4 linked regions of the Notamacropus eugenii genome follow. The protein of the gene in region 1 interacts with the protein of each later gene in a biochemical or structural test. Links are inferred from orthologs where the notes say so. Each region holds a gene or a part of one and is shown in the gene's direction. Other genes may lie near its edges.

Region 1 (7,113 bases):
CCCAGCACAGGTGGCCATGACAGCTGGCACCATGAGCACGCCAACCCTTTTCCTTGACTCAAATCAGGTTTTGTTGACTTACAGTGGTCGAAGTGCTGAGGTACCGTCTCTCAGAACCATGTCACCAGACCAGTCTCTGAATTTGGGGTCTATCTGCTAGAATGGGAGAGGCTGGTATCCCCCCACAGGCTTGCAAAAAGTGTTGGACCCCTTTTATGTGGCCTGAAAGCCCTACCCTAGAGTCCTCCCAAAAAAGTATTGACATGGTCTCCAGAAGGTCCCCCTTTCAACATACGTGTGAGTTGCGACAAGGAGGGAGGGTGTTTTCTAGCTATCTCCACGTTCTCTCCATATCAGTCCAGTTGCTCAAGTGTTTCTCCATTTGGGCTTGGACAGACCTTGCCTGAGCTGCCTCAGAGATCAATGTCCACCTGTCACAGTAGCATCTGAATTCCATCTGAAACCGAGCCAGCTTTTTAAAATGAATGCTAAAGACCCTTCCAGGGTCAGGGAACTCACCCAGGAGAATTTAGACATAGCCAGGAATAATTATAAAACAGATTAGAAGGCAATAAACTCTATGATCCCAAGTGTATAAAAGTATTAAATGCTATGAGACTGGGTGAGGAAGAAATGACTTTTAACCAGGGGCATCAAGGGATGCTTCAGGGAGAAGGGTAGGAATTCAACAGGTGGAGAGGGAGGAGGATGAGCAAAGACAAAGAGACAGGAAAGGATGAGACACTACAAAGCAGGGTGAATCATGTAGTATAGAATGAATGGAGGCCAATGGGAAATGAGGCTGACAAGTACAGAGGTGGCTGATTGAGTGCAACGATAAGGGTCTTGGGCTGTATTCAGTGAGCAATGGGGTACACACTCCATGGTTTTGAACAGAGAAACAATGTGATTACAGCTGTACATAAGGACAGAAAGGCTAGGATTAAAAAAAAGCCTGAGAGAGCTAGACAGGACTTTGGGGATCATAGATCCACAACCCACAGTTCACCTCATCCAACCTCATTTTACAGATGAGGCAATTGAGGTCTAGAGAAGTCAAATTACTTCCCCAAAGTCTCTTGGGTAGTTTCTTTGGTTGTGGGTTTCAACCCAGGTCCTCTGTCTCTAGGATCAATGTGCTTTTTGGTGTACCATGTTGCCTAAGCAGTGGAGAAAAATGGACTTGGCTTCAGAAGATCCCAGTTCAAATCCTAACTCTGCTCTTGACTATCTGCCTGCTGAGATATTCTGTTAGATAGATAAAGCATTCATTAAGCCATATTGTGGGTCAGGCTTTGTTCCCCTCTGCTTGCCACTTGCCCATAAGGATCTTATATTCTAATAGCCGAAGATCACACATAAAGAGAGATCACATTCTTGGGACCATGACATGGGCAGCCTAGGAAATGGAGGGGAGGCCCTATTCACCTGCAAGATAAAGGCAAAAACACAAGGACTTGGGGGAGAATCTGGAATCCACAAGATTACTGGTGGGGAGAAAGAGGAGGTGATGGTCCCAGGAGAGGCTGCATGGATCCATCTATCATCCATTCATGGATGGATCTGGGGATGTACATTATTTCTTATGTATATTCCAAAAAGGACATGTATATCCCCTTAGCACAGCACTTGGCACATAGTGAGGACTCCAAAAATGCTTGTTGACTGATAGATTTGGGGCAAGTCACAATTTCCTTGAGCCTCAGTTTCCTTATATGTAAAAGAAGGAAGTTAGACTAAATGATATCTCTGAGGGCTCTTCTAGCTTTACATTCTTTTTCATTTATTCATTCAATAAACAGTTATTAAGTGTCTACTATGTAAAAACACTAGAATTAAGAGAGGTTGGGGAAGACTTTCTGTAGATTTTAGTTAAAACTTAAAAGTTAGGGAGGTCAGTAGTCAGAGTGGAGCAGTTAGAGCATTCCAAGTAGGGGGGACAACCAGAGACCTAAAGTTTTGTTTGTGGTACAGCCAGGAGGCCAGTATCACTGGACCAAAGAGTACATGGCAGGATTCAAGGTATGAGAAGGCTAGAAAATTAGGAGGGAACTATGGGTTATAAAGGACTTTGAATGTCAAACACAGCATTTTTCATTTGATCCTGGAGGCAACAGGGAGCCAATGGAGTTTACTGAGTAGGGGGATAACATGATCAGACCTTCACTTTAGGAAAATCACTTTAATGGTTAAGTGGAAGATGGATTGGAGGGGGAAGAGACTTGAGGACCGCAGACTAACCAACAGGCTACAGCAATAGTCTAGACAGGAAGTAATGAGGGCCTGTGCTAGGGTGATGGCAGTGGAGAGAAGGGGGCTTATTAGATGTTGCAAAGGTAAAATCAACAGGTCTTGGCCACAGCTTGGATATGGGAGGGGGGAGGAAGGGCAAGACAGTGAGGAATCCAGGATGACTCCCAGGCTGTGAGCCTGAGGGCCTGGGAGGATGGTGTTGCCCTTTACAGTCATATGGAAGGTAAGAGGGGGAGAAGGTTTAGAGCGAAAAATAAGGAGCTTTGTTTTGTTGGACATATTGACTATAAGATGTCTACTGAACATCCAGTTTGAGATGTCTGAAAGACAGCTGGATATCTATGATCCTAAATTTCCTGAGGCTATCTACTTCAGCCCAGGACACCAGGATAGAAAAGAGAAGAGAATAAGGGCAGAAGCTCTTGGTGGAGAGGATGGTGGTCCTGTGTCGAAATCTTTTTAGCAGGAGTTAGTTTAGCCTTTGGCTGGGAAAGTTATTGCCCCTGACGGCAGGGAGAAAGGCTAAAAAACCCAAAGGCCTAGGTGGGAAATAGTAAAAACAGAAGGTGCCAGGGAGGCTCTCCACTTAAGACAGAGGACCAGCCACCCTTCTCCCAATAAGGATTGTCAAGGCTGTTGATGCCACATAAAGCTCTGACCAGTGACTTAATCAGATCACCTCCATCTGCTCAGTGATTTTGTCACAGCCTGACACATCCACTCCGAATGCTGCCTTCATGATCTTAGGTGAGTCACTTAACCCGTGTGTTTCAGTTTCCTTATTGGTAAAATGAAGGGGGTGGATTAGATGACCTCTCTAAGGTACCTTCCAACTCAAAGTCTATGAATCTATCTTTCTTTGAAGCCCCATGGTCCAGGGCAGAGGAGTTAAACACATGTTGGAGACAGACAATACACTCTTGAATGGCTGGAAGCAGATTAAAGTGTAACTGGGTAAAATGTAACAGAAATATTAAAATGAAATAAAATAAAGATATATTGCATTTTAAAACTAAGTCAATAAATCCCTGGGGGGGGGGGGTTCCTTATGTAAGGATTAATGGATCCTATTTCTGTGAGTTTGATAGGTCTAAAGGAGTGAGGGGCTGGTCAGATCAGCCAACTCTTGGGTTAACTCTTTACTTGCTGGATCTAACTTTAGGGTAGACTGAGCCCCCTCTTGAAATCACAGTCAAACATCTAGGCCACCAACCTCCCTCTAGCGGGACCAGCACATGACTGATGAAGGTCAAGGTGGAAAGAGCAGTGAATTTGGAACCAAGAAAGGGAGGACAGAGAATCTGGGCATGGAGTAAAGTCTGGGAAAAGACACAGAGAGGCCAGATGGAATGTTGATATATCCTCTAGTTAGGTAATAGCAAGTAGGCCAGTTTGGCTGAAAATGCTCTATTTTCTGGGTGGGAGAGTGGGAGGGAGTGAAGAATAACCCATGAAAGATAGGTTGGAGTCAGGTTGTGAAGGGCTTTAGAGGCCAAAGAGAGGAATTTCTATTTTCTCCTAGAGGCCATAGGGAGGCAGCCAAACTCGAGCATGGAATAGCCAGGGCCATGGTCAAGCCTGGCCTTCCATCCATCAGCCTGTTCAGCCGTTAACTCTGTGACCTTGGCCAAGATCATCTCCCTCTCTGGTCTTGTCTGTTGATTTGTAAAATTAGGGAGCACGCTGGGAAAAGGGTCTTCCGAAGGGGGTGGTCTTCGTTTTGCCCACCTTTCTCTGAGAGTGGAGGTCAGTCTCCTTTTCCATCTTTCCTTGGGGCATCCAAGCGCTTCCTCCAGCACCTACACTTAGCTCGTGCAGAGGAACGCCAGGAGAACCCGCCCCGTCCAGTCCTGGAATTTGGAACGGAGATCCCGCGGAAGGGCGAGAAAAGGGTGACCGGTATCCCTTCCTCTCCCGGCCGAGGGGCGGGAGGCGGGGTGGCAGTTGGGCCCGGTGCCCGGTGCCCCCGCTCTTGGGCTCCCCCGCGGTGCCCCCGGGCCGCCGGCGGGGCGGGGAGGAAGGGTAGAAAAGGGGCGGGGAGGGGCGGGGAGGGGGCCGGAGCGCTCGCCGGCCGCTGGCTCTCTAGCTCCCGGGCTCTCCAGCTCCCTGGCTCTGAAGATGGCGGCGGGTAGGCGCTCCCCGAAGAGCGGGCTACTGGAGCTGCGGGCTCCGGGCAGCGCGGGGCCCGGGCCCTGGCTACGGGTCTTGGTCAGCCTGGCAGCCGATGTGGTGACGGTGAGCGCCGCGCCGGCTAGCGGAGAGCCTGAGCCGGGGCCGGGCTCCGGCTCGGAGCCTGCGTCCGCGTCCTTGCCCCAGCTCAACGGCTCGGACTCCGGGGCGCCCGCAGCCCCCAGAGCGCCCCCAACGCCTCCACTGCCCCACGCGCTGCTCAACCAGAAGCGAACCGTGCGTGTGGTGAAGCAGGAGGCGGGCGGACTGGGCATCAGCATCAAAGGTAGCGGCCCCAGGGGCACGGGCTGGGGGACACGGCGGGAGCACAGGGGCGGCAGCGGGACGTGGGGAGGGCAGCCGAGCCGGGCTGAAGGTGAAGAAGCCCAGCATGGCAGAGCGACAGAGACAGGAGGGGTGAGGGGCGCTCTGCGTCCTGGCGCCGTGCCGGGCACTGCCCTGTCTGTCGGATTGACTGCCTGTCTGGCTTTCGGGGTCCCAGCGTTTGCGGGAGGGTGACCGCGGTGGGAGCCGATCAGACCCTTGAAGATCACGACCTGGCCACATGGAGACAAACGCAAGTTCTTACCCAGTTTCTCGCTCTGCAAACTTCACGGGACAGCGGGGCCTGGCAGGCTGAGCTGGTGGGCAGGGCCTCCGCGAGGAGAGCAGCCCAGTCTGGGGACTGGCTGGGAGCCTGGCTCCAATGGTAGCCTCATTGCTTCCTAGTCCGAGTCTCCGGGAGCTCCACGGAACCCTCACAGGGTAGTGCCTGTCCACTGTGGTCTAAACTCTCCAGTCCAGCCTGTTGGCCCTGGCTGGAAGTGAGGCAGGACTCCCTCTGCCCTCTGCTGTGCCAGTTCCCCGAGCCTGTTACATAGCACTCCTCGACCCTCCCACCTTTGTCCTCACAGTGATGCTCTGCTCCTGGTAGGTTTTAAAGCTTACAAAGTAGGTTCTCCACCATTTTACATGTAAAGAAACCCCAGAGAAGCTAAGGACTAGGAAGTATCAGAGGCAGAATTGGAACCCAGGGCTCCCAGCTCGAAGACCAGAACTGCTGCCGTCTCCATCTGCCTTGTCCTTCAGCTTTCCATAAAATTAAGGTCTGGCTTCCAGGCCATTATAAAGGTGGGGGAATCTTAGTCCATGATCCCTCCCACTTCAGTCCTGGTTTCTTCATCTCCGCTAATCTTCCCCTTCCCTTATTTTTCCCCCTTTCATGTCTTTCTCTTATTTATTTCTCTTTTCTCTAGTCTCTCTTTTCCCTGACTTCTCTCTCCTAATTTCTCTCTCCCCTAAGAGCTATGTGGATGCTTATGGGTCTGGATAGGGTAACAATTCTCAGAGGGCTGAAGGTCCCTTTGTCCTGGGTCCCAGAGCCATATTAGGACATTTCTGGTCACAGATGGTTTTTGTAGCAGAGAACAGACAAAATATCCCCAGACATCAGCAGGAAGAGCCATTAGAGGTAGAGTTAGAATATTGGGGGGGAAGGGGAAGAATCACCTCTTCCAGACTGATATGTGAATGGCAGGATTGAATGCTATCGTAGTCTTAGGATAGAATTTCCCATCAGACAGCATGCAGCAAGTACCGTCCACTGACCCCTTTATCATTTTGTAGAGAGTGAAAAGAGGGGAGATGAATTATCTTAGGTCACACAGGAAATTAACAGCAGTCGAAGAGACTCGTACCAAGGTCTTCCAGTCCTCAGCCCACAGCTCTTTATGAGTACCCCATAATCCTCCTCTGCCTTTGCTCATTGCTTGTGCCTCCCTCCTCCTTTTCCATGGAGTTGGCAAAGGTGGACAGCTAGGTCTCCATTGAGAACAGAGCCCTGCCCTTTCCAAGTGGGAAAGACACACTATCTATAGTTCTCTCTTGGATTTGAGGATGAGTTCTTGTCACCTCAAGGGAAGTCATTTCTCCTGAACCTGGTTTGGAAGTTTGGCTATTGAGGGTTCATGACAGTCTCAGCTAATGCTGTGTTTAGAGTTCTACTAACTTTTTGCTTTGGAGAACAGCTCATGAACTTGGAGCTATCCCTTCAGGTCTGGTATTCTTCTTGGAGGTAGGGTCCAAAGGCCATAAAACCTCTTAGCTAAGGCCACTTCCTCTCCCCCCCTAACCACACATACACAGCCTTTCTGCTAAATAAGTTTTTTGAGTCTAATGTACTCTCTGGGGTTGTGCTAAATCCCCTCCTCTTCCTAGGCCACAACCTGTCCCTCCATAAAATGGGGAGAGAACTGTTAAAACAGAATGAGTCTTGGACCTGGGAGTCAGGAGACCTGGGTTCTAGTTCCAGTTCTACCACTGACTTACTGTGTGACCTTGGGTGGGTCACTCCCCCTCTCCAGCCTCAGCTTCCCCTGTGTAAAAGGAGAGGCTTGGACGAATGACCTCTGAAGTCTCTTCCAGTTCTAATGGTCTCTGGTTCCATTTTTAGGGTCCTCCTGCCTTTTCCTATACTTTTCATAATGCTAGTAGGTACTTATTTAATACCTGTCACCCCAATTCCCTGGCATTGATGCCTGTTTCCTTATCTCCTGCGTGTGCCTACATATATACCTGTCTGTGTGTGCATCCTCAGGTGGCCGAGAGAACAAGATGCCCATTCTCATCTCCAAGATCTTCAAAGGGCTGGCAGCTGACCAGACAGAGGCTCTGTTTGTGGGCGATGCCATC
Region 2 (6,833 bases), on another chromosome or scaffold:
TCACCTCAACAGGTTCAGAAGCTGAGCTTATCTTTCCCCCTAAATCTAGTCCTCTTCCTTCACTATTTCTGTCCATGGTACTGCCATTCCCCCTGACTTCCATGTTCATTCACAACCTTGAAGTTAGTTCTGACTACTCTCCCAAACACACCTATATGCCTTCTTACCCCAGTGCCATACTTAATTCCTACTCGTTCTTTACAGCCTAGTGTCTCCTCCTTACCACCTTCCTCGATCTCATCTTAGAATAGCCATATCCCCACCCTGTTCACCCACAGCCATCTGTCCAGTATCAGCCTAGACTCAGGTGCCAGGACAAGGACCATGCCTTCCCTCTTCTTCTGGAGGGGATGTAAAGAGGCTGCTTTCATGAATTTGGTTCTATTTGGTCTCCAGGAAATCTTGGAGAGGACAGAGGGGAAAACCAACTCATCTTCTAGAAAAAAAGAAAGTAAATGAACAAGAAAAATCAAGGAAATAGGTGTTTGGGTGCTTATGTGTCTGTTGGTAGTGGTTCCAGTATGTGAAGGAGATCAGGGAGAAATACGCATGGAAGAGTGGGTTGGATTCAGATCATGGAGGGCCTTGAATGCCAAGATAAGAATATTGTAATTTCTTCCCTAAGCTATGGGGAATCACTGAATTTTTTGTCTATATTACTTTGGTAGTTGTGAGAAGGATGGGTTGCAGAAGGGAAGACTGGAGGAAGGGGTATCAGTTCAAGGAATTATTTTAAGAAGTAGTCTCATGGTTGTCATTTGAGTGGAGAGCTGGGGAAAGCTGGGAGAGCTGTCTTGAAAGCAGAACAAGGATTGACAGTTGTTTGGTTATAGAGGGCAAAAGAGGGGAAAGCCTTAAAGATACCTCCAGGTTTCAAGCCCAGGGGACTGGGAAAATGGTAGGGCTATCCATAGAAACAGGGAAATCCAAAGGAGGAAAGATTTCAAGGGAAAGAAGACTTGTTCAGATTGGGTTATATAGAGTTTGAAATGCTGGTAGATCATTCAGGTAGGGATGCCCAGCAGATAGCTGGAGATCTAGGGCCAGAATTTAGCTTGGGGCTGAAGAGGTGAAGATTTGAGAATCATCCTAATAGATAGTTATTGAAGCATGGATGGTCATAGGATCCCTTAGTTAGATCTGGAAAAGACCTCAGTAGCCTTCCAGTCCCTTTTTATACATGAAGAAACTGAGGTAGAGAAGTTAAAGTGTCTTGTCTAGGATCAATTGGCTAGACAGTGACAGAGGGAGTTGAATTCAGGTCTTCCTACTCCCTTCTTACTTCCAGTCCAGCTTTGCCAGGTCATTAGGGTAGAATGTGAAAAGGAAAGTATTTCTAGGACAGGGCCTTGGGGCATGGGGAGGGGAAGGATTCACAGTTAGAGGAGGAAGAGGAACCAGAGGAAGAAACCAAGAAAGTAGGGCCAGACAGCTGGATAACTGAGAGATCAGCATCTCTATACATAGTTAGGTTAGATATGATGACCAGTTAACCAAAAATGAACTGGGTTCATCCTACGGAGCATCTCCTTCAGAGTGCTCCCTTTGGAAGACACATCACTGATTCCCAGTCACCTGCACCAAGAAGGAATGAGCAAGAGATCCTCATTACTCTATGGTCAGGCCCACTTCTGACTTGACCTAGACAAACGATTCTATGACCACTTCCTGATGGCTGGTCGATTGGTTGTTGCTCTTTGATCTTGAAGTGGGCCAAAATGACCTGTCAGAGTCAAGGTATTGTGTCCAACTCTGGCTGATCAGACCAATGTGATATCAGAATGCTCTACATGGGCTGGGCACAAATACTTCACATGAACAGTTGGAGTGGAGATGGCTCTAAATTTGTACATCTAACATTTCTTTTGAGCTACTGCAATTCTGTTTCACTCATAGAGCACAATGCCTTCTGTCATGTGGGCATGACATGCTTGGTGGTCCTGTGTCAGTGTCTTCCATGTTTCACAATCAATTCTAAAGTTTTTCAGAGAGACTTTCAGAGTGTCCTTGTATACTTTTGACCACCTCCTGACTCACCAAATTTGGACTCAATAACTTTGGGCTATTTCTAACATTTAAACCTACCCTTCAAGATAGATATTGAGAATTTGTGCAAGACTATAAAGACCTATGGGTTTAGTGGTCAAAGTGCTGGCATTGGAGGAAGACATAAGTTGAAATCCTACCTGTTGTCACTTACTAGCCATGTGACCCTGAACTAATCACAGCCTCTCTGAGATTCAAGTGTTCACATCTGTGAAAGGAAATGTTTGGACCCCATGACCTCTGAGGACCTTATAGTTCTAGGTTTATGACTATCATCAGCCTTTTCCAAAGACTAGATACATATATGCCCTGGTGGAGGAAGGGGGAAGGAATGTTTGAAGGCAAGACTAAGTTCTGGTCTGTTGTGTTTTGTTTTGTCATATGACTTTAAAGATCCTTCTCGTGTGTGTGTGCGTGTGTGTGTGTGTGCTTTGTTTGTTTATATTTGTTTTATTTGTTTATATCATGGAATCACAGATTTCGAGCTAGAATGGAAATCCTTTAAAGACATCTGTCTAAGCCAATCCCTACATTTGCTAGGTCATCTTGGGGCATTTCTTGGGGGTTTCAAACGCCTGGTATTGCAACTCGCTCTGTGATGCCTTAGGTAACTTATGAGGCTCAGAAAGACAGGCAGCAGGTGGCCCAGCACTGGGTTTGGAATCAGGAATATTCCTCTTTCCGAGATCAAACTTGGCCTCAGACACTTACTAGCTGTATGACCTTGGGCAAGTCACTTAACCCTGTCTCAGTTCCCTCATCCATAAAATGAGCTGGAGAATCATATGGCAAACCACTTCAGTATCTATCAAGACTACCCCCAATGGGGTCACAAAGAATCGGAACCTACTCAACAACAAAACAACGGAAAGGTTAGGGCCAAGAGATTAAGTGATGGTCCAGAGCACTCAGCTAGTTTGTGTCAGAGGTGGAACGTGGCCTTGCCCTCTACCCACAGCTCCTCCTCTTCATTGTAGAAGTGAGGGAACTGGGGCCCAGATAGATCTGGAGAATTGTCGAGGTCACAAAGCTCCAAAGTGTCGAATAGAGCCTGGAGCCTCTGATTCGAAAGCCGAAGTTCTTTATGTCTGTATATTCTTGGATATGTTAGTGAGCCGCGAGCATGTGTGTGTGATCTCTCATGTATGTATTAGCGTCTGGGTCCATATGTGCTTGTGAGGACACTGACGGGTGTGCATGCGAGTGTACTGGTGGAGGTGAAATGCTGGGAGCGCTGAGCTTTAGCCTTCGGGCCGTCCCGTGGTTGAGCCCTCCTTAAAGCAGCGCGTCCCAGTAGGGGACGTTCCCAGCCGGTCCACAGCAGGAGTGGGTCAGGGAGTAGCAGAGGCGCACCCCACCCCGGGACCCGCCCGTCCTCCCCCGAGTAAGGCCGAGCCGGAGTACAGAGCAGGGGCAACAGAGCGGGGAGGAGAGCGCAGCCCAGTCCCGCTCGTTCCCATCCCGCACTGCCCAGCTCGGCTCAGCCTGACCCGCGCAGCCCAGCCTCGACAGCCCAATCCCGTACAGCCCCAGCGCGCAGCCCCGCGCAGCGCGCAGCCCGGCGCAGAAGGCAGCTAAGCGCCACCAATTGGGCAGCCGGAGCCCAATGCAACGAAGGCGGCTGCAGCGCAACGGAGCGAGTGAGCGCCCGGTGCCGCGGGCGAGGCCGGACCCTGCCCCTGCCCCGCCCCGCCCCGCCCCGCCCCGCCTCCGGAGGCAGGCAGCCCGCCCGCAAGCCCTCCTGCCCGCGCCTCCCCGGGAGCGGCCCGGCAGCAGCGGGCAGCCGGGAAACGAGTGAGCGAGCCAGTGAGCGCGGAGCCGGGCGGCTTGGGAAGGAGCCGTGCCAGCCAGAGCCGGAGCAGGAGCAGGAGCAAACAGGAGGCGGCGGGCGAAGGGCGAGCCAGCGAGTGAGCAGGTAAGGAGCGAGAGCTTGGGGCTGTTGCTATAACAGCAGCCCCACGCGGGCGGGCCTGGGGCAGAGGCCGGGGTCAGTGGCAGTCCTGAGCCCCTGGCCGACCCAGGGGCGCCCAACTTTCTTCCCCCGGGTCGGGCGACAGCGGCTTTCTCTTTGCCCGGGAGCTGGCGATGCTGCCCTTTTTCGCGGCCCCAGGACTGCTCCTGCTGTCGCTGCTACTACTACGGGCTGCCCCGCTGGGACAGAGGGAGCCCTGAGCCCCTGCAGCCAGCCCCTCCTCCCCTCGCACCCCTCCAGGGCTCCCCAGCTCCCCCCCCCCCCGCAGAGATTTCCCTGAGAGAATCCCCTCCCCCGGAGGCTCCCTCTGCGTTCCCATGACCCCCTTATCCTGGACTTCCCCCCCATCGGGAAAACAGGGACGCAGCAAACCAGAGCTTGGGGGATTCCTCCTTTCCACCCCTCGCCCGCCCCAACCTTCCCGGTGCTCAGGAAACGTCTCCAGGCGTTAGTGTCCTCTTCTTCCCCCCCACCCTCGGTCCCAGTCCCCTGGTGGAAGCTTCCTTCCGTCACTGTGGCAATGTCGGGGGGCAGTGGAAGAAAGGGGAGTAGAAGCTCTGCTTAGAATTTTCGAGACCCCCCGTCCCGGCCATTCTGGGCTTTATTTTTCTTCTGGGGTCCGAGAGAGGTTTGTAGAACGGAACAACCCCCAAGGTCAGAACAGTCTTGGCTGGGGGGTAGAGGGAACGGCTGGGGGAGGGGGGCTCCCAGGGACTCAGGTTGGACTGGAGTGGGAGGACATTAGCTGACAACCAAGAGAGGCTTGGAATGGGGGGAAGAGGTCCCCTCATCTTTGGGGGCAATTGTCTTCCCCGCTTTCTATCCGATTACTGTTTTCTCTGATGTGGTTGTGTGTGGTTGTGTGTGTGTGTGTGTGTGTGTGTGTGTGTGTGTGTGTGTGTGTGTGTGTGTGTGTGTAAGGGGGAGGTTGAAAGGGGGAAATCTCGATAATGTCTTCGAAGGGAAAGAGATGTAGCTTCCTTTGGATACCTTTCAAACGGCTTTTCGTTGTGCACCTACTGTGTGCAAAGCCCTTTGGTTGTGTACATAGTACTCGGACTGGAAGAGATTTCTGTTACCTATACTGGAGCGGGCGGGGGTTAGAGAAGGATCTGAGCTTTGTGTTCTTTCTGTTAATGGAGGTATGGAGGGGGGGCAGGCATCTCGCCGTCGGTGGGGATGTTTCTGCATGTCTCTGGAGGACCATGGTGTCCCGAGACCAGTGGATTAGCTTGGGACAGGGACGGGAGACTGAAAAAAGGGGCTGAGAGGGGAGATTTCTCCCCGACCCCCCATCTCCCCCTCCCCCCACTATATGTTCTGGGAAGGAGTCCCTGCGTGGAAAATTGCGGCGAGAGGCTGCTTGCCCGACCCTATTAACTGGACAGGACTGCTGGAGGTGTCGGGGCCGGATAGGCAGCCTCGAACTGGGTCCCCAGACCCAGGCTCCCTCCCGTGCCCTAAGGCATCCCCTTGCCCACGTGCTTTTTTCTCTGAGGCTTTGGACTGAAACCTCTCTGGGGACCCGCCGAGAGGCTCGGGAGAAAGAGGTGCACGGAAACCCGGCTGCCTCGCCCGGCAGTTTAAGATTGTCAGACCTGCCGGCCTCGCCTGGACTGTGCGCTTTGACCAGCCGGGAAGCCGAAGGCGGCTTCTCCAGGCAATGACTCCATGAGAGTGGGCACTTGTTCGCCACTGGACTACGAGCAGGACCCTTCTGGGCTAGTCTCACCTCCGAGTTTACCCCTGGCAGGAGGTAAAGAAGAGGGCCCTGGCCCGCCTTGGAATTTCTTGGGGAAGGACTTTGGTAACTCCAAATCGGCTTATCCCAGGCTTTCCCCAGATCATAGGTTTCCGACCCCAGAAAGGGAAGGGACCTCGTAGGTCTCCCAGTCCAATCCACCCACTTTACAGATAAAGACGCTGGGGCCCAAGGAAATACAATAATCTCCCCAGCGAAGCACATACTTGCACACAGAAAGAACTTAATAAATGCATTAATATAAAATCTGAAAACAGAATTGAGAAACAGCTCCATGGATCGTTCACCCCTTGCGCAGTACCTCTGAATAAGGCTGTCTACTTAGCCATCCTTATAAGCAGCCTAGCTTAAAACTGTTTTTAGACAAGAATAATATTCTTTTAATTCATTTATGATGTGTGAAATGCTATATATATATATTTCTCATTTGAGCCCCACAACAACCTTATCATGTAGCTGCCATTAATGTCACAATTTTACAGATGAGGAAATTGAGGCTGAGGAAGGTTAAGTGACTTTGTCCAGGTCACACAGTTAAGTGCCTGAGGTAGGATTTGAATTCAGGTCTTCCTGACTCAATGTCCAGCTCTCTGTCCTCTGTTAACATATATTAAAAGATAAAACAGTGCAAGGGAAACCAGTAACTCTCTGAGGCAACAGGTTTATAAAAAACTGAGAGGCACAATGACTGAGCTCGGGTTCTCTCTTTGCTACTCACCTCTCTGGGCCTCAGTTTCCCCTTTTTGCATAGACTAGATAAGCTCAGTGGTCTCTGAATTTAGACTGCCCAATCAAGGAACCCACAAAATATGCAGATTATTGTTATTGTAATCTCAGCTGAAGAACAGGACCTTTAAGTGGCTGTCCAGGGCCAGTCCTGTATCTAGGCAAAAGGAATAGCTGTCTCAAAGCAATAAATACCAGCACTGATACCAAGAAATGCTAAGAAAGCCCTGCTCTCTCACCACCAGTCCGCCAAAGTGCTTAAATCTCTGCCCTTAGCATGTCATTCCTTTGTTTGTCTTCCTCTCCAGAAGGCAGCTATTGAAATAC
Region 3 (7,158 bases), on another chromosome or scaffold:
CCTACTCCTCCCAAGTAAAGGCCTCTGTAAGGTCCACTTGTAGCAATGAGTATTTGCTCATTTCTGGGAGTGTTCTCCACGGCCCATCCCAAATTTTGAAGGGATATTATTTTAGGAACACAATTGGTATCGTGTCAGTCAGGGTAGGGATGAGTTCAAATCCTGGAGGAAAAAAATGGCCCTAAGTGGATCGAGCTGGAAAGAACTCTGAACATCCTCTCATTTACAGAGGATGAGGGGCTCCCAGAGCTGAAAGGTAGCAAGCGACAAAGTAGAGATTCCTGTCATTCCAAACATGCTCTGTATTCTCCTTCACTGAGGCCGGGGGGGGGGGGGGGGGGCGCCAAGGGATTCGGAGAAAGGGGACTCAGAAGTCAAGTATAACTTCCTCCACACTAGCTGTGTGCCCACCCCTCAGGGACTGAGGCAACATCTTAAACCAGTCACTTTCAAGAAAGTGGTCTTTTTGCATTGATTCAGGGAGGGGACCTCTCTCCATGCTGACCTGGGCTCGGTTCCCCGGGCTCTCATGGACTCAGCAATCCCAAGTGTCCCTGCAGAGGAGTCACCCTGCTGAGGCAGTCTTGGGGATTGAGCTACCTTGTCTAAGCCTTGGCCTCTTCTGTCCAGAGGGCTGAGGGATGGGATGTAGGGTGAGAGGTGTACAAAGGGTTCACATGCTCCATAAAAGACAAGATAAAAAGTTGCCTGGTCATCTGTCAGCTTCTCCTCAAGCAGGTGAGGTCAGGTGAAGGAAAGTCATTGCTCCTCTGCCCTTCCCTGCCCCCATCTCATCAGGACCGAGCCTTAGGACACTGAGGCAGGACCAGGCATCTCCGAATTTCACACTAACCCTGCAGATTCTGCTAGGGGGTCAGGATGCTTTACAACCTCCCAAGCCCTGGCCGCCTCCTCTGTGCCCAGAGCTTTTCAGTCCCTGGTTCCTCCAGAGTCCTCCAGGCTGTGGAGAGCGGGAAAGGAATGGGTCCCAGCTGCAGGCAGTCAAGTCGGCTTGCTCCCAGCTGCCGTGGAAGGTCCCCAGAGCTAAGTCAATCGTTTTTGAAGTTGGCCTCCCACAGCATGCTTATGCTTTGCAAATTTGTTTTGGCACAGGAGCTGGGGTGCAACCTGTGACTCGACTTACTCATTAGATGGAAACGGCCTTTGTCAGCTGCCACATTGCTTGAGTCACCATGTTGCTAAAATAAGCTGTCTTCTGTGAATCGTGCTGCTCTAATTCTGCTTTCTTGTCATTTTTGCTTGGGTTCTGTCTTCTGCTTTGCCTTGCCTTCATTGTTTTCCCTTTTCTCCTGCTGTTCTACTAAGTAGGCAAACAAACCCTGAGACACAGTATGCTTCAGCCACGGGATGGATGGAAGACAAAACAAACAGCTGTTTAAACCTGCCCGGTAGGAAATCCGAGACATTAATGTGTATCAAAGCAGGTGCTGCAAGAAGTCTGTCTTGCAGCCCTTGCTGGAACAGAGTCCCCTCAAAACCTGAGATTGGCCACCTCTGACTTCCACCAAAGTCCTTTTGCTAGAGTCTCTCCCCTCCCATCAGCTTTCACTCACAGAGATATTACACACACCTTTACTGCCAGAGCTAGGAAGCAAGAGATTCAGCCCTAAGGATGATTCTTTTTTGCCAAAAAGCCCCTTTCAAGATGAGGCTTCCCTTCATATATCTCCCTGGCGATCATCAGAGTTCCTGGTATGCCTCATGTGCTACCACCGATGTTGCAGTATTGGACATGTCTTTGCTAAACATGTCATTTCACAAGGATTTAGACTTTCTTCTGGGTGAGGTCTTTCTGAGACATTGTCCTCTGGGCAAGTACAGCTCTTCAATGATGTCAAACCATGAGGGAAAAAAGGCCCCTGGCTTTGTTTTAATTCAAGAATATTCCTCCTTTGCCAAGTGACATGTCCATAAACAGCCTATGGGCATCAGAGCCCCCAAAGGTGAAAAGGCTATGGGTAAGGACCCAGTAGTAGGTCACTGAGCCATGGAACAATGACACAGGGCTTTGCCAGTAGATCCTGATCCAGTAGAGTCATTAGGATTTGGGCAAGGGAGATAAGAATCCCAGATGAAGGGCAGGTTCCATCAGATTTCCCAATGAGAATTACAACTTCATCCAATTTGGAATATTGGCCAGCGAGCCCTGTGGATAAGGCCCCCAACCTCAGTTTTTCTATGGAATAAGGGGCAATTGAAAGACTGACATTCATTGAGTATTTCCTAGGATTTCAGTCAGGTGTGGAACCCATCTTCCGAGGGTTCTAGTGCATGACTTTACCATATGCACATGTGGATGTGGATCTGCCTATGCGGGGTATGGACATTCCAAGTCTACACTTGTATGACTGTAATTTCTCTGGCCTTTTCCATTCTGTTCATGGACTCGTTGAGGGCTCCACCTTTTTATGACAAACCCATATTCTTTAAATGATACAGCAATGGTAAAACAACATCCCTGTCACTTTACAATGACTAGCCACCTCAACCAATCCTGAGTAGAATTTTTCTTCTTCACAAGGAAATACAGGTAAGTATAAGCCTTCCAGACCTACAGTATGGGTACTTGCATTCTCAGATCTCCTAGAAGAATGTGTGTGGGGAGGGCTCCCAGGTTCTCCACCTGCCCCTTATGGATCCTGGAAGCAAGAGAGGGGAGGAGGACCAGGTCTGGTCATTACAACTTGGGGTGATTTTATCTTCTCCCTCAGAGGCTCTTATTGCCTCAGGCAGAGGGCTTTTCTAGATAGAAAAGGGGGCTCTCTTGCTGACTAGACTCTTGGCAAATTGACATCCTCAGCATCAGCTCACTGCTGGCACTTCTTCCTGCCTGGAAACCTGCCAGGGCTCCTACTCTGAGTCTGGGTCACTCCTGCCTGGGGAAAAGGAAGCATCGTGGAAATGTATAATTAATTTGGCCTCACCCAATGTAAGCCCCTTCTCTGGGATTCTCCAGGGCTCACTGATGACAGACAGCTCAAATACTAATTGGACGATTTTGAACCCAGGCAAGCAGAGATTAATGCCCTCCTCTCCCCTCTCCCCACTCGCTTGACCCTTGTTAATGATATTTCTCTAGAGAACAGACTGTGGGACCAGAAAAAGGAGGAGATGATTGTTGATTCACTAAAACATAACACCCCATCTGCCTGGCCTACACTGGGCACATCTCCACCATAGCCTACTCACAGAACTAGTCTAATCATTCAGTGTGATTCCTAGTGGGAGGCATTTCTGGCAGTCGTAATCTCCTTTGGTTTGCTTTCAGCTGTAGGTGTTTCAAATGCTACCTGGGATCTATGTATGCCAATTGGTAGTCCTCCTTGGAGGTCTGCTGCCCAGCTCCAAATTGCATCTTAACTCACCTCCTACTTGTCTTCCAGCTTCAGACATCAGCAGACTTGCTTGAGCGCAACTTCCTGTGAGGTAAGCTTCTTCCCCAAACCCAGGAGCGGCTTTTCCTGACTTCCAGTCCTCTCCATGAGTAGTGAGTTGTTTATCAAGGTCCTGCTAGGGCCTGTGAGAAGCAACTGAGCTAGAGACATGTAAAAGCATTGTGTGGAGATGAGTCATTCATCAGTTCAGGAACGATCAGCTTTTCAAATGTGCCTAGAGATTGGGGAGGGGTGTTCATCTCTACTCTGAGGATTTCTGGTATCTTTCAGACCTATGGGCCTCCTGCCCCAGGTTCATGAGATCAGAAACTCATGAGCTTCCCACCCCCAAAGCAAAGGGAAGAGTTTCTGAGAAGCCTTGGATAAATAACAGGCATCTGGCCCCTTTCGAAGAAATCCCCAGCCAAGGAGGTACAATGAAGGAGATTCAGTAAAAACATGACCCTGTGGCCAAGCCGCGTCTTTACTTCGCAGTATCATTGATCCTGGAAATTTTGGAGAGAGAGCTCAGTTATTTTTCTGAAGGGGCCCAGTGGCCCTTTCATGTTCTCTCAACAGAGTTGGAAAAATGTGGGGTTTATTTGTTCTAACCTTGGTTTGGAGTGATGAGAGAGGAATTTCAGGAATTTCTCATGGAAGGTTTTTTCTTCCCCTCCAAGGAAGACCAGGATTCTCAACTGAACGGCCAACTGATAATGTTCCCTAGGTGCCCGAGTGGAAACACTGTGCAACCATGAGTCTTCTAATACCCAGACTTAGGGCACTCTCCAGGTAAGAACAGCCAAGAGGTAGCCTGAGGCTTGCTTCCTCGCAGTGCAGAAAAGACCTTTGGAGCAAACTGAACCCTCCTAGTAAGCACTATCTGCTGCTAGAGAGAAATTGATCCTTGCAAAAATATCAGCCAATCAACCTTTTCCTTAATTTTTGAAATCCTGAAATCAAACAATGAAATAGGCTCTTTGTAGAGGTTATAGGTTTCCTTTCACTGGTGGTCTGTTTTGTCCATTCATAGGAGAGGGAAGAGAAAAGATAAAATAGTCCAGTCTCAGACTAGATGTCTTTCAGGATCCAGTCTGACTCCACAAGGCCATCTATTGAGGAAACTGAGGTAGGGGGAGGGAATGAATGATGTAGTAGCCAAGGTTAGCATAGCACTCTCTCATCTTTCACGGCCAACAAGAGGATAAGAATGGCACCCAAAAAGGGTGGTGATGACCCTTTTCTTTTTTCCATCCCCCTACTGGGGTAGGTAGTAAGAATCAGATGACATCAGCTTACCTGAGAGACACCTGTCAACTCCTTTCCGTGGTCTTCATAGGCCTCACCAAGCACAAAGTGAATGGGAAAGTCCAATATCACTGACCCAGAGGGAAAAGCGTGGTGTGGGACTACTTAAAGATGTTTGCTCTGTGGGCATGAACCTCCTTTTGGTCTTTTCTCCCTTTCCAGATTGTGTGTAAGAGTAAATGCGTGATTATAACCTCCTCTGTGCCCACCATGTTTGTCACATCCTAGGATCACAATGGGGAAAATCATGACTTAGAAATAAGCTACATGTGAAAAGGGTTTTTCCTTGTCTCTTGGGGTGATTGAAGGAAAGAATTTGAGATGGATACAATACATTATCCTCCTTATGGGGCTGATTCATTAACTGAGGTCACCATGGAAAACACCTGACATGGGGTGGGGTACTCATTCATTCAGCAAAAGCAATGTCATTCTGCACTGAAAGTCTCATACAAATCTTGGACAGATGTTCACCTGCAATTGGAAAGGAACGAGTTTTTGCACAAAGCTCATATAATCATGAATAGACTTACTCACAAATGATTTGTGCTACAACATGTCAGAACAAATCTCCAACAGGCCCTCGTGGCCTGCGAAACAGAGTTGCCTCAGTAGTTTGGGGAATGTAGCCACACTCCGGGAATGACCTCTCTTCTCCTAGTGCCCAACATGGAAAGCCTTTGGTTTGATGTGGAGTATTCCACCCATAGTACCAATCTGTGACTTATAGTGATGACAAGGATGCCATCCAGGACCCCCTTTAAGATACACTGAAAGGAGAGGCATTTGTGTCCATACTTCTCACTTCTGAGCCCAGTAGCTCAGTATATCTGTCTCTGTACATGTGGGTAGAATCATAAGCATGCCAGGTCTATCTCAAAAGGGAATGTGGCCCCAGCATGGGATCCCATGGGCTCCTTTCAGGGTCTCAGAGGCACTCTGAAGGAAAGCAAATCCTAATGCCAAGCTACCAAATTCATCCTAGCGCATCTCCAAAGACCCTCTCCGTAATGAGACCAGGTTATGCTGCATCATGAACTTAGACACAGCTTTGAGTAGGGATGAGCCCAGTCCTTGGATCCCATCTGTTTCTTTCCTAGGTTTGGGTCCCATGATCCTTTCCCCAACTAACTTGTCATACAAAGCTGTCTATTTTTCACAGCATCCTTTGTTTCCTCTATCATTTAACTTAGATCAGAGGCAAGACCAGGTCCGAGGGGAGATGTGATGTCAGTTTCTTTATCCCTGCAAGGCTCCTGGTGGGCCAGAAGCATCTCCCCTGGGTCTTACATTTGGTATCAGGCTGCTACCAGGAGGCTCAAACTGCTCTTTCCCAGAGCAAAATCGAAAATGGCAGGAGGATGCTCAGCATCCAGGCTTGGGAGCCCAATCCTGAGACTCATCCATCCTTTGGACAGATCATGTGATGTCTGAGCATGGGACAGAGGTGGGGGAGTAGTGTTATTCGGTAGGAGACACAAGCCAGCAGACCTAGCTAAAGATGGTGAGCCTGACACCCTGACCTGAGGCTCCTGGGCGGTCTGTTCCTCCCTCCCAAGGAGAACTGGGTCTAGGTAACTCTTTGAAAGCCTTTAATCCCCTTTTCATTAAAAGCATAGCAGTTATGCAGAAACTCTTGGCCCTTTGTCCAAAGGGGAAAGGCAAGGCCATGGGGGTGGATATTTAACGCGACTCTTTGAGGGTGGGTTAGAGTAAGGCCAGGAGAAGGGCAAAAGAGAGTCCAAGCTCTGGTCTCAGAAGGACTTGACTTTGGCCAAAGCTCCAGACTTGGAGAACTGTGGCAGAAACAACCAGGATCCCTTCCCACTGGGTATCCTCCCTCCAGCCTTCTGTGATCGTGAAGCATTTCTGTTGGTGTTTCCATTGGTATAATGAGAAGGAACAAGACACAGTGGTGATTCAAACCTGAGAGAGTATAGGTAAGAGATCAGAGATGGAGGTTGAGGGTGTGGAAAAGGATTCCCTGGGGGGGGGGGGGGGTCATGTCACTAGGGTCCTGAAAGTGGTGCTCAGAGAGTATCTCAGGAAAGCATTCCCTGTCTGCTACTTTCAGAAGGGAAGATGGCCTGCCTGTTTCACCATGCAAGGAACCAGGACCCAAAGCTTACTTGGTGAGGATGGTGTAGCTGCCTTCTCTGTAGGGTCTAGGTAGACCCTACATTGTCCCTCTGCAAATGCGGTGCTAAAATGCCTGGGCTGGGCAGATTCTGCTCACCGATGTCTCATACCCTGGGTGCTCTGCTCACCTTTGGTACGATGGGTGGAATAAGCCAGATCAAACCTAACTGCCCAAAGAGGACTGCGGTTATAGTGCTGGAAGGTACCTCAGACGTCATCTCCCTTAGCTGAGAGGGAAAGAAGTTGGTACCTGGGGAGGTCCAATGACTCCTCTCCTTCTTCCTTGAGTTGCTGCTTCTGTGATCTTTGGCAAGAC
Region 4 (7,397 bases), on another chromosome or scaffold:
CATGGAGATGACTCTCACACCTGCCATATTTAGAAGGGAACTCATTCCTTTTCCCTCCCAAACTCCCCTTCAGCCTGGCTCCCCTAGGTCTGCTGAAGGTGCCACCACCCTCCTGGACACCCACATTCCCAAGCTCAGCATCAGGCTGATCAGTTGTTGAATCTTGTCAATCAACTGTCCTTCTCTCCACTTCTCCCATCACCCTCCTAGCTCAGACCCTCCTTCCTTCTCTCCTGCAGTACTTCATTAACCTCCCAATTGCTCTTTCTGTCTTCAGTCTCTCCCCTCCCCAGTGCCTGCTCTGAATAGCGGCCAATGTGATTTTCCCAAGTGAATCTGCCTATGTCCCTTTACTGCTCAGAGAACTCCAATAGCTTCCTGTTGCCTGCTCCTCTGGTTGACTTTTAAACCGTTTGCAATCTGGCTTTGGCACTACCTCGGCAAGTTTATCGTACTGTGCTCCCTTCTTGGGATTTTCATTGGCCCAAATGGGCCTGCTTGCTGGCCCCCATGGGGGATTTACCTTCTTTTCTCTCCATGCCTTTGCAGAGCTTGGCTCTTTCTCAGGTCTGGATGCAGTTTCCTTCTCCCCCCTGTCCCAAGGAGCTTCCTCATTTCCTTCCAAGCTCAGTTCCCAGCTGCCTCCTTCATGAAGTCCATTCCGATCTACCTAGTCACTGTCTAACCCTGCTCCCAGAAATTATTTTATATTTCAATAAAACAAAAAAATTTGGATACTACCCCCTGAGAGGATGTAAGATATTTGAAGGCACAGACTGTTCTGTGTGTGTGTGTGCTTTGTCTCTGTAACTCCAGCACTTCACTCAGTATGAGGCACTTAATAAATGCCTATTAATGGATGATCTATTTCTATTTCTGGCCCCTAGTAGCTAGGTGGTACAGCTAGTTGGGTAGAGCTCTGGGCTTAGAGCCAGGAAGACCTGAGTTCTAATTCTGCTTCAGACACTTACTAGCTGTGTGACTTTGGGCTAGTCATATAACTTCTCTCAGCCTCAGTTTCCTCATTTGTAAAATGGGAACAATGATAACACCTGCCTCTCAGGCTTGTTATGAGGATCAAATGAGATAATATTTGTAAAATGCTTTATAAACCTTAAAGCATCATATAAATGCTTTATCATGATCATCAACACCATTACAGTGCCTGGGAAATGGCAAGTATTCAATGCATGCTGAATTGATCTGCAAACATAGACTGTCGGAGCTGGGAATGACCATCTTAGAGTCCACCAGCCCCAGTTTCTCACTTAGAGATGGAGCTGAAGAACATTTGGAGGAGGGAGGGAAGGTGAGTGCCTCATTGCTTGGGAGAATCTCCTCTCCTGGGCTGAGGCTGTCTTCCAGGACAACTCCTGGTGTTGGGAGGTAGATACAAACAGCCATTGAGGAGGGTCTTTTAGTCTTCAAGTCAGTGTCATTCCCTACCCTGACCTGCTCCCCCGAAGTGATCCAAAATTGGGAGATTTCTCCTATCTTTCCACCTGTTCTCTTTTTCCCCTTCCTAACCTTACACTAGCCTGGTTGCCAGCTAATTCCAGTTGAGGTGCCAGTTAATACAAGCAGGTGGTTTCCCCCTTTCCCAGAAGAAAGTGCTTTCTGCAGGACTTTGGAAGCATCCCTCCCACCCCCGAACCCTCAGAATCCAAGTGAATTGATCCCTTATATACTGTATTATAGAGAAAAATCAGGGCTACGATCCAGGAGACCTGACCTTCAGTCCCAGCTCTGTTGGCTAACTTCCTCTGGGGCTTTTGCTAAGTCATCTCCCCTCTGTGGACCTCAGTTTTTATCTCTGTAAATAAAACATTGGAATTAGAGGTCCTCCACTAAACCTTCCATTTCTCCCTTTCTGTGCATCTCTGTGTCTGTGTCCTTTTCCAGCTCGTCCACTCTGTGGCTCTAATGGTGGAATTTCAGGCACAGTGACAGTAGAGAGGGGAACATTTTCAGGAGGGAGTAGGGTAACCTTCCTAGTGACTTTGGAATAATGGTCTGTTACGCCTGTTTTGTCAAAGCATACAGCAGGAACCTTCGAGTAACAACCCTCCTCAGCTCCCCAGACAGTTCTGAGGGTTGAGCCCACACCCTTCCCTCCCTATCACTGTTTCCCCACCCCAACATCTATGTCCCCAGGGCTAATGGCTCCTGCACCAGGGTGATGGTGGTGGTGGGGTTTAGGTAGTGAGGGCACTGGCTGGCATAGAGCAGTGACGGTCATGTTCCTCTGTTGTTGTAGCTAGGGGTAGGTGATGAGGACACAGGCACCCAGAGCCAGGAGAGGCCAAGGGAAGGGGGGTTGGGTGGAGAGACGGTGGGGAGAGTTTCTCCCAGGGAAGCTGGCACCACTTGAGCTGTTGATCTCTAAATTACAGCGCTGCCTCTTCAGCCTGGACCCCGGCAGCAGCCGCACTGTTGCTGTGGCAACTGAGTTGTCCCGAACCGGGGAAGTGTATAAACACTGCTACAGATACACAATTAGATCAACAAAAAGAATAGAACAGAAAATAGAAACTCCCAGCCTTCCATAATTCTGGGCCAAAATGTTACCAAGAGCCGTCTCTTGGCCTCCTCCTCCCTGCCCACCCTGGCCCTGCTGGTGGCAGAGACTTGGTTGGCACCAGGCAAGGCAGGGGGATGGAGCGGTGCTTTGGCTATCTCCTCTTTCTCAGATGGATGGGGGAGTGAGGGGGACAAAGGGCAGTCTCGGGGGAAGGGGCTGACTGTCTGTACCCCAGGCTGTAGCCAAGTTACTTCTCCATGACCCTTATGGACACCAGCACCTCAGCGGCCCCTACCCACCACCACCATCATCATCACCATGGTCATCACTGTCACCATGGTTACAGTCATCACTGTCGCCATCACCATGACCATTATCCTCTTGGTCATCACTGTCATTATCACTAGCAACATCATCCCCATTGTCCCTATGACCACGATCACCATCTTTGCCTTTGCCACCATGACCACCATGTTTTCTGTCTCTGTCACCATCACCATTTTCACCACCTTTGTCATTGTCACCATGACCTCCATGTCTCCTGTCTGTCACCATCCCCGTTATCACCATTGTTACACCCACAATGATTTCTCATTGCTGAGCTTGTTTGCTCATTTGTGGAGCAGGGGTCTCGGAGTCCTGAGGGACGTCAGAGGGATGTCATCTCTTCCCCCTATACCAGTAGCATGAAGCCTTTGCCTGACATCTCTAACTAACCATTACTTCTTTAACCTATTCTTACACTTCCCATTTAACAGAGAGCTCCCTGTCACCTGCTTCCCTTTGGAATAGCTCTCATCTTAGGAATGATCTTCATATTGACCTGAAATCTGTCTCTGTGAGGTTCTGTCAGCCCTGTCCTGGCCTCCCTGAGCCAAATCTCAGCCCTGCCTGGCCTCCAGTCCAGAGACTGAATGTAGCGGAGAAAGCATATTGGCCTTGGAATAAGTAAAGGCACCTGGGTTCTCTTGTGGGCACAGACAATAACCAGCCATGTGGGAGAAAATTGAATTCACCATTAGGGACCATCCTATCCAACTTCCTGGCATCCGAGAGGCAGGAAACACAGACTTAGAGAGGAGGTTTGTGTCCTGAGTCACAGAGATGGGAAGGACTCCAAACCTAGACCTCCAACTCCAAGTCCAGGGCTTCCTTCCACCCCACATGCCCCTTCCCCCTCAGAGCCTCCATTTCCTCATCTGTGAAATGGGGATGATAGCTGTTGTGCTGCTGACACACCTCACAGGGCTTTGCTTCAGAAAGCAATTTGGAAACATCAAATCCCTAGAGAAACAGGAGCTATTTTTACCCAGTGAGATAATGCACATACAAGTTCTTCCCAAATACCACAGCATTCTACACAGGCAGGGGATTTATATCATCACTATCATTTTATCATTATTCCATTTGCTGCCCTTCAGCAAGCATTTAGTAAGTGCCTACTGTTATGTGCCAGGCACGGACTTGCTGACCCCTGGGGACACAAATACAAAAGCACCCCATCCCCAGCAGGAGTCCATGTCCCACTGAATGCCACTCAGGAGGTGACTTATTTTGGGAACCAGCCTGTGCTTTCATTCACCTAGAGTACTTCCAGTGAGGAAGCACCCTTCACCAATGCCCCTGTCACCCACCCCACAGCGTAGAGTCTGAATAGAGGCAATCTGGCAGAGCAGTGGATAGAGCCTGAGTTCAAATCCAGCCTCACAAACCTACTGTGTGACACCAAGCAAGTCACTTAACCCTATTTGCTTCACTTTCCTCACCTGTAAAATGGGGATAATAATATCAACCTCCCAGGAAGGTTGTGAGGATCAAATGAGATAATATTTGTCAAATCGCTTATCACAGTTAGTTGGGATTGTTATTGTAGGACTTCTTAGAGCATTGAGAGGTTACGTGACTTGCTCAAGGTCACCCAGGCGAGATCTATTTATTCCAGGCTGGACTTGAACCCACCTTCTTGGCTCTGAGGCTGACTGTTCCCTCCACTTGGAGCAGATGATTACGGTTTCTGGTTTCATTGGCTAACCCTCGTTTATCCGCTCCCCTAACGTCTGGCCACCGTGTCTCTTCTCCAGGTCCGGCGCCATCCCAGGTGGTGAGGACAGCCACTGGATCTCTGCCAGGGGCGGGATGAACGGACACAGCCGGAACGGGCAGGCTCATGCCCCCCGGCGGAAGCGCCGCAACCGCTTTGTCAAGAAGAATGGCCAGTGTAACGTTTACTTCGCCAACCTCAGTAACAAGTCCCAGCGCTACATGGCCGACATCTTCACCACCTGCGTGGACACGCGCTGGCGGTACATGCTCATGATTTTCTCCGCCGCTTTCCTGGTCTCGTGGCTCTTCTTTGGCCTCCTCTTCTGGTGCATCGCCTTCTTCCACGGTGACCTGGACCCCAGTCCGGCCCCAGCGTCTGGCCCTGCTGGAGCAGGTCCCGGAGGAGGCGGGAGCCCGCCGCAGGCTGCCGTGAAGCCTTGCATCATGCATGTGAATGGCTTCCTGGGAGCCTTTCTCTTCTCGGTGGAGACTCAGACCACCATCGGCTACGGCTTTCGCTGTGTGACAGAGGAGTGCCCGTTGGCCGTCATGGCTGTGGTGGTGCAGTCCATTGTGGGCTGCGTCATTGACTCTTTCATGATCGGCACCATTATGGCCAAGATGGCCCGGCCCAAGAAGCGGGCCCAGACACTGCTCTTCAGCCACCACGCTGTCATCTCTGTGAGGGACGGCAAACTGTGCCTCATGTGGCGGGTGGGCAACCTACGGAAGAGTCATATCGTGGAGGCCCATGTTCGGGCCCAGCTCATCAAGCCGTACATGACGGAGGAGGGTGAGTACCTGCCCCTGGACCAGCGGGACCTCAATGTGGGCTACGACATTGGGCTGGACCGCATCTTCCTGGTGTCCCCCATCATCATTGTTCATGAGATTGATGAGGAGAGCCCCCTGTACGGCATGGGCAAAGAAGAGCTAGAGTCGGAGGACTTTGAGATTGTGGTCATCCTGGAGGGCATGGTGGAAGCCACAGCCATGACCACCCAGGCCCGCAGCTCCTACCTGGCCAGTGAGATACTCTGGGGCCACCGCTTTGAGCCTGTGGTCTTTGAGGAGAAGAGCCACTACAAGGTGGACTATTCGCGTTTCCATAAGACCTACGAGGTGGCTGGCACGCCGTGTTGCTCAGCCCGTGAGCTCCAGGAAAGCAAGATCACGGTCCTTCCTGCCCCACCGCCACCACCCAGTGCCTTCTGCTATGAGAATGAGCTGGCACTCATGAGCCAGGAGGAGGATGAACTGGAGGAGGATGTGGCTGGCTTGGGGCTGGAGGGCGGCTCTAAGGAAGATGGTGGCATCATTCGCATGTTGGAGTTTGGGAGCCACCTGGATTTGGAGAGGATGCAGTCTACCTTGCCCCTTGACAACATCTCCTACCGTCGGGAGTCAGCCATCTGACCTCCTGCCCTTTCGTCTACCCATATCCCCTTTGTCATCTTGGGCTCCCATTCCCTAACCCCATGTCCAATGTGGGAAAATCCCCCTTTCTAGGCAGGAGAAGGACCAGCAGACCATGAACATCCCCTCCCTCAATATCCCTGGGACAAACACTTCCCCCTCCCAAGGACAGAACCCAGCCAGGCCATGGGAACCCTTCTGGTGGCCCCATGGGACCATGAGAAATGAGTGTATGAGTAGTGCCCAAAAACTAGACCCTGGCAACAGGGAGGCCCCTATCCGTGAGTTCTGCCATGCCAACCATCCCACAACATCTACTGCTGTGGGCCTGACTCTACCTGCAGATCCAGAATTGCCCAAGATGGCACCCCTAGGCCCTTCCAGGACATGCCCCCAGCTGCCCTGGAGAACTTCAGGGGGGTTCCTTGGACAGATGTGGAGGGTGTGGGGCTCACACGGAGGCTAGGGCTGGAAAGCTGGTTGGGGGAAGTAGAAGAAAGGGTTTACCTTGCATGTTTGTGACCTGTCACACATCCTTTTGTAAATATATACATATATATAAAGACAAGAGAGATCCAACCCAGATTCTTCAATTTCCCGGGGCAGGATGTGGAGATGAAGCCCGGCCCCTCTTCCTCTCCCTCATGTACTGGCTCTTACAGCTCCTTGGTCCTTGAACTGTCTCAGAATGAGGGATGTCAACCCAAGAAGCCCCCAGGGTCAGGGCTCCCTTCATGTGCTAGCCCAACCTCTGCTGGTCCCCTGACCACCCACCCCAGCTTCTGCCCATCTTCCCCCACCCTTTGAACACACACAACTGTACAATGGGATTTTTAATTATTTTTAATAAAGTATCCAATCCTCTTGGAGCCACATGGGCCAAAAGGAGGGGGAGAAAGAGACCTAGAGTATGAGAGGCATGTCTACCATCTTCCTAGGGTCTTGGTTGTTGGGAATTGGAGGGAGGGAGGAGGAAGAAGGCAGGGGCAGGAGGACTCAGTAGGATGTAGTAGCAGTAATCCTTTCAGTGTAGAAGAAGCAGGGCTTGTGGGAGAGACACTGCAGACAGAGGGAGAAAATCTAGGTTTGAATCCTGGGGCTGTTTATTAACTATGAAGACCTTATATGCTGTTTCCCGGTTTGGGGTCTCAGTTTCTTGGAATTGAAGAATGGAAGCAACCTTGGAGACCATCTTTTCCAACCCTTACTTGGGCAGGCACAACGAAGGGGGAGGGAGTTGGGGTTAAGTGGGGGAGCTGATGAGTTCTGTTTGCAGATGTTCAGTTTGGGTTGAGGTGTAGAGGCTTTGCTGGAGCTGGAAAAATGGACCCAAGCTTGGGAAGGAGATGAGGGTGTGGTGTGTAGATTTGAGAGAGATGATTACTGAACCCAGGGCAGGAGATCCTATCACCAATGG

Evidence for each region.
Region 2: the proteins of SNTA1 (region 1) and SCN5A interact in a test that uses a peptide from one of them, tested with the Homo sapiens proteins (2 studies listed by BioGRID and IntAct). The link is inferred for Notamacropus eugenii from reciprocal best matches to the Homo sapiens genes SNTA1 and SCN5A.
Region 3: the proteins of SNTA1 (region 1) and HTR2C interact in a test that uses a peptide from one of them, tested with the Homo sapiens proteins (2 studies listed by BioGRID and IntAct). The link is inferred for Notamacropus eugenii from reciprocal best matches to the Homo sapiens genes SNTA1 and HTR2C.
Region 4: the proteins of SNTA1 (region 1) and KCNJ4 interact in a test that uses a peptide from one of them, tested with the Homo sapiens proteins (2 studies listed by BioGRID and IntAct). The link is inferred for Notamacropus eugenii from reciprocal best matches to the Homo sapiens genes SNTA1 and KCNJ4.

The regions. Positions count from the first base shown.
Region 1 is NC_092872.1:417,512,343-417,519,455, reverse strand, and holds the start of SNTA1 (alpha-1-syntrophin), read left to right. Parts: upstream 1-4,107; 5' UTR 4,108-4,371; coding exon 4,372-4,708; intron 4,709-7,018; coding exon 7,019-7,113. UniProt on the Homo sapiens protein: Adapter protein that binds to and probably organizes the subcellular localization of a variety of membrane proteins. May link various receptors to the actin cytoskeleton and the extracellular matrix via the dystrophin glycoprotein complex.
Region 2 is NC_092874.1:473,245,231-473,252,063, reverse strand, and holds the start of SCN5A (sodium channel protein type 5 subunit alpha), read left to right. Parts: upstream 1-3,816; 5' UTR 3,817-3,961; intron 3,962-5,213; exon of another isoform or gene 5,214-6,833. UniProt on the Homo sapiens protein: Pore-forming subunit of Nav1.5, a voltage-gated sodium (Nav) channel that directly mediates the depolarizing phase of action potentials in excitable membranes.
Region 3 is NC_092879.1:95,876,135-95,883,292, reverse strand, and holds the start of HTR2C (5-hydroxytryptamine receptor 2C), read left to right. Parts: upstream 1-4,149; coding exon 4,150-4,187; intron 4,188-7,158. UniProt on the Homo sapiens protein: G-protein coupled receptor for 5-hydroxytryptamine (serotonin).
Region 4 is NC_092874.1:295,848,174-295,855,570, reverse strand, and holds KCNJ4 (inward rectifier potassium channel 4), read left to right. Parts: upstream 1-4,581; 5' UTR 4,582-4,657; coding exon 4,658-5,980; 3' UTR 5,981-6,877; downstream 6,878-7,397. UniProt on the Homo sapiens protein: Inward rectifier potassium channels are characterized by a greater tendency to allow potassium to flow into the cell rather than out of it.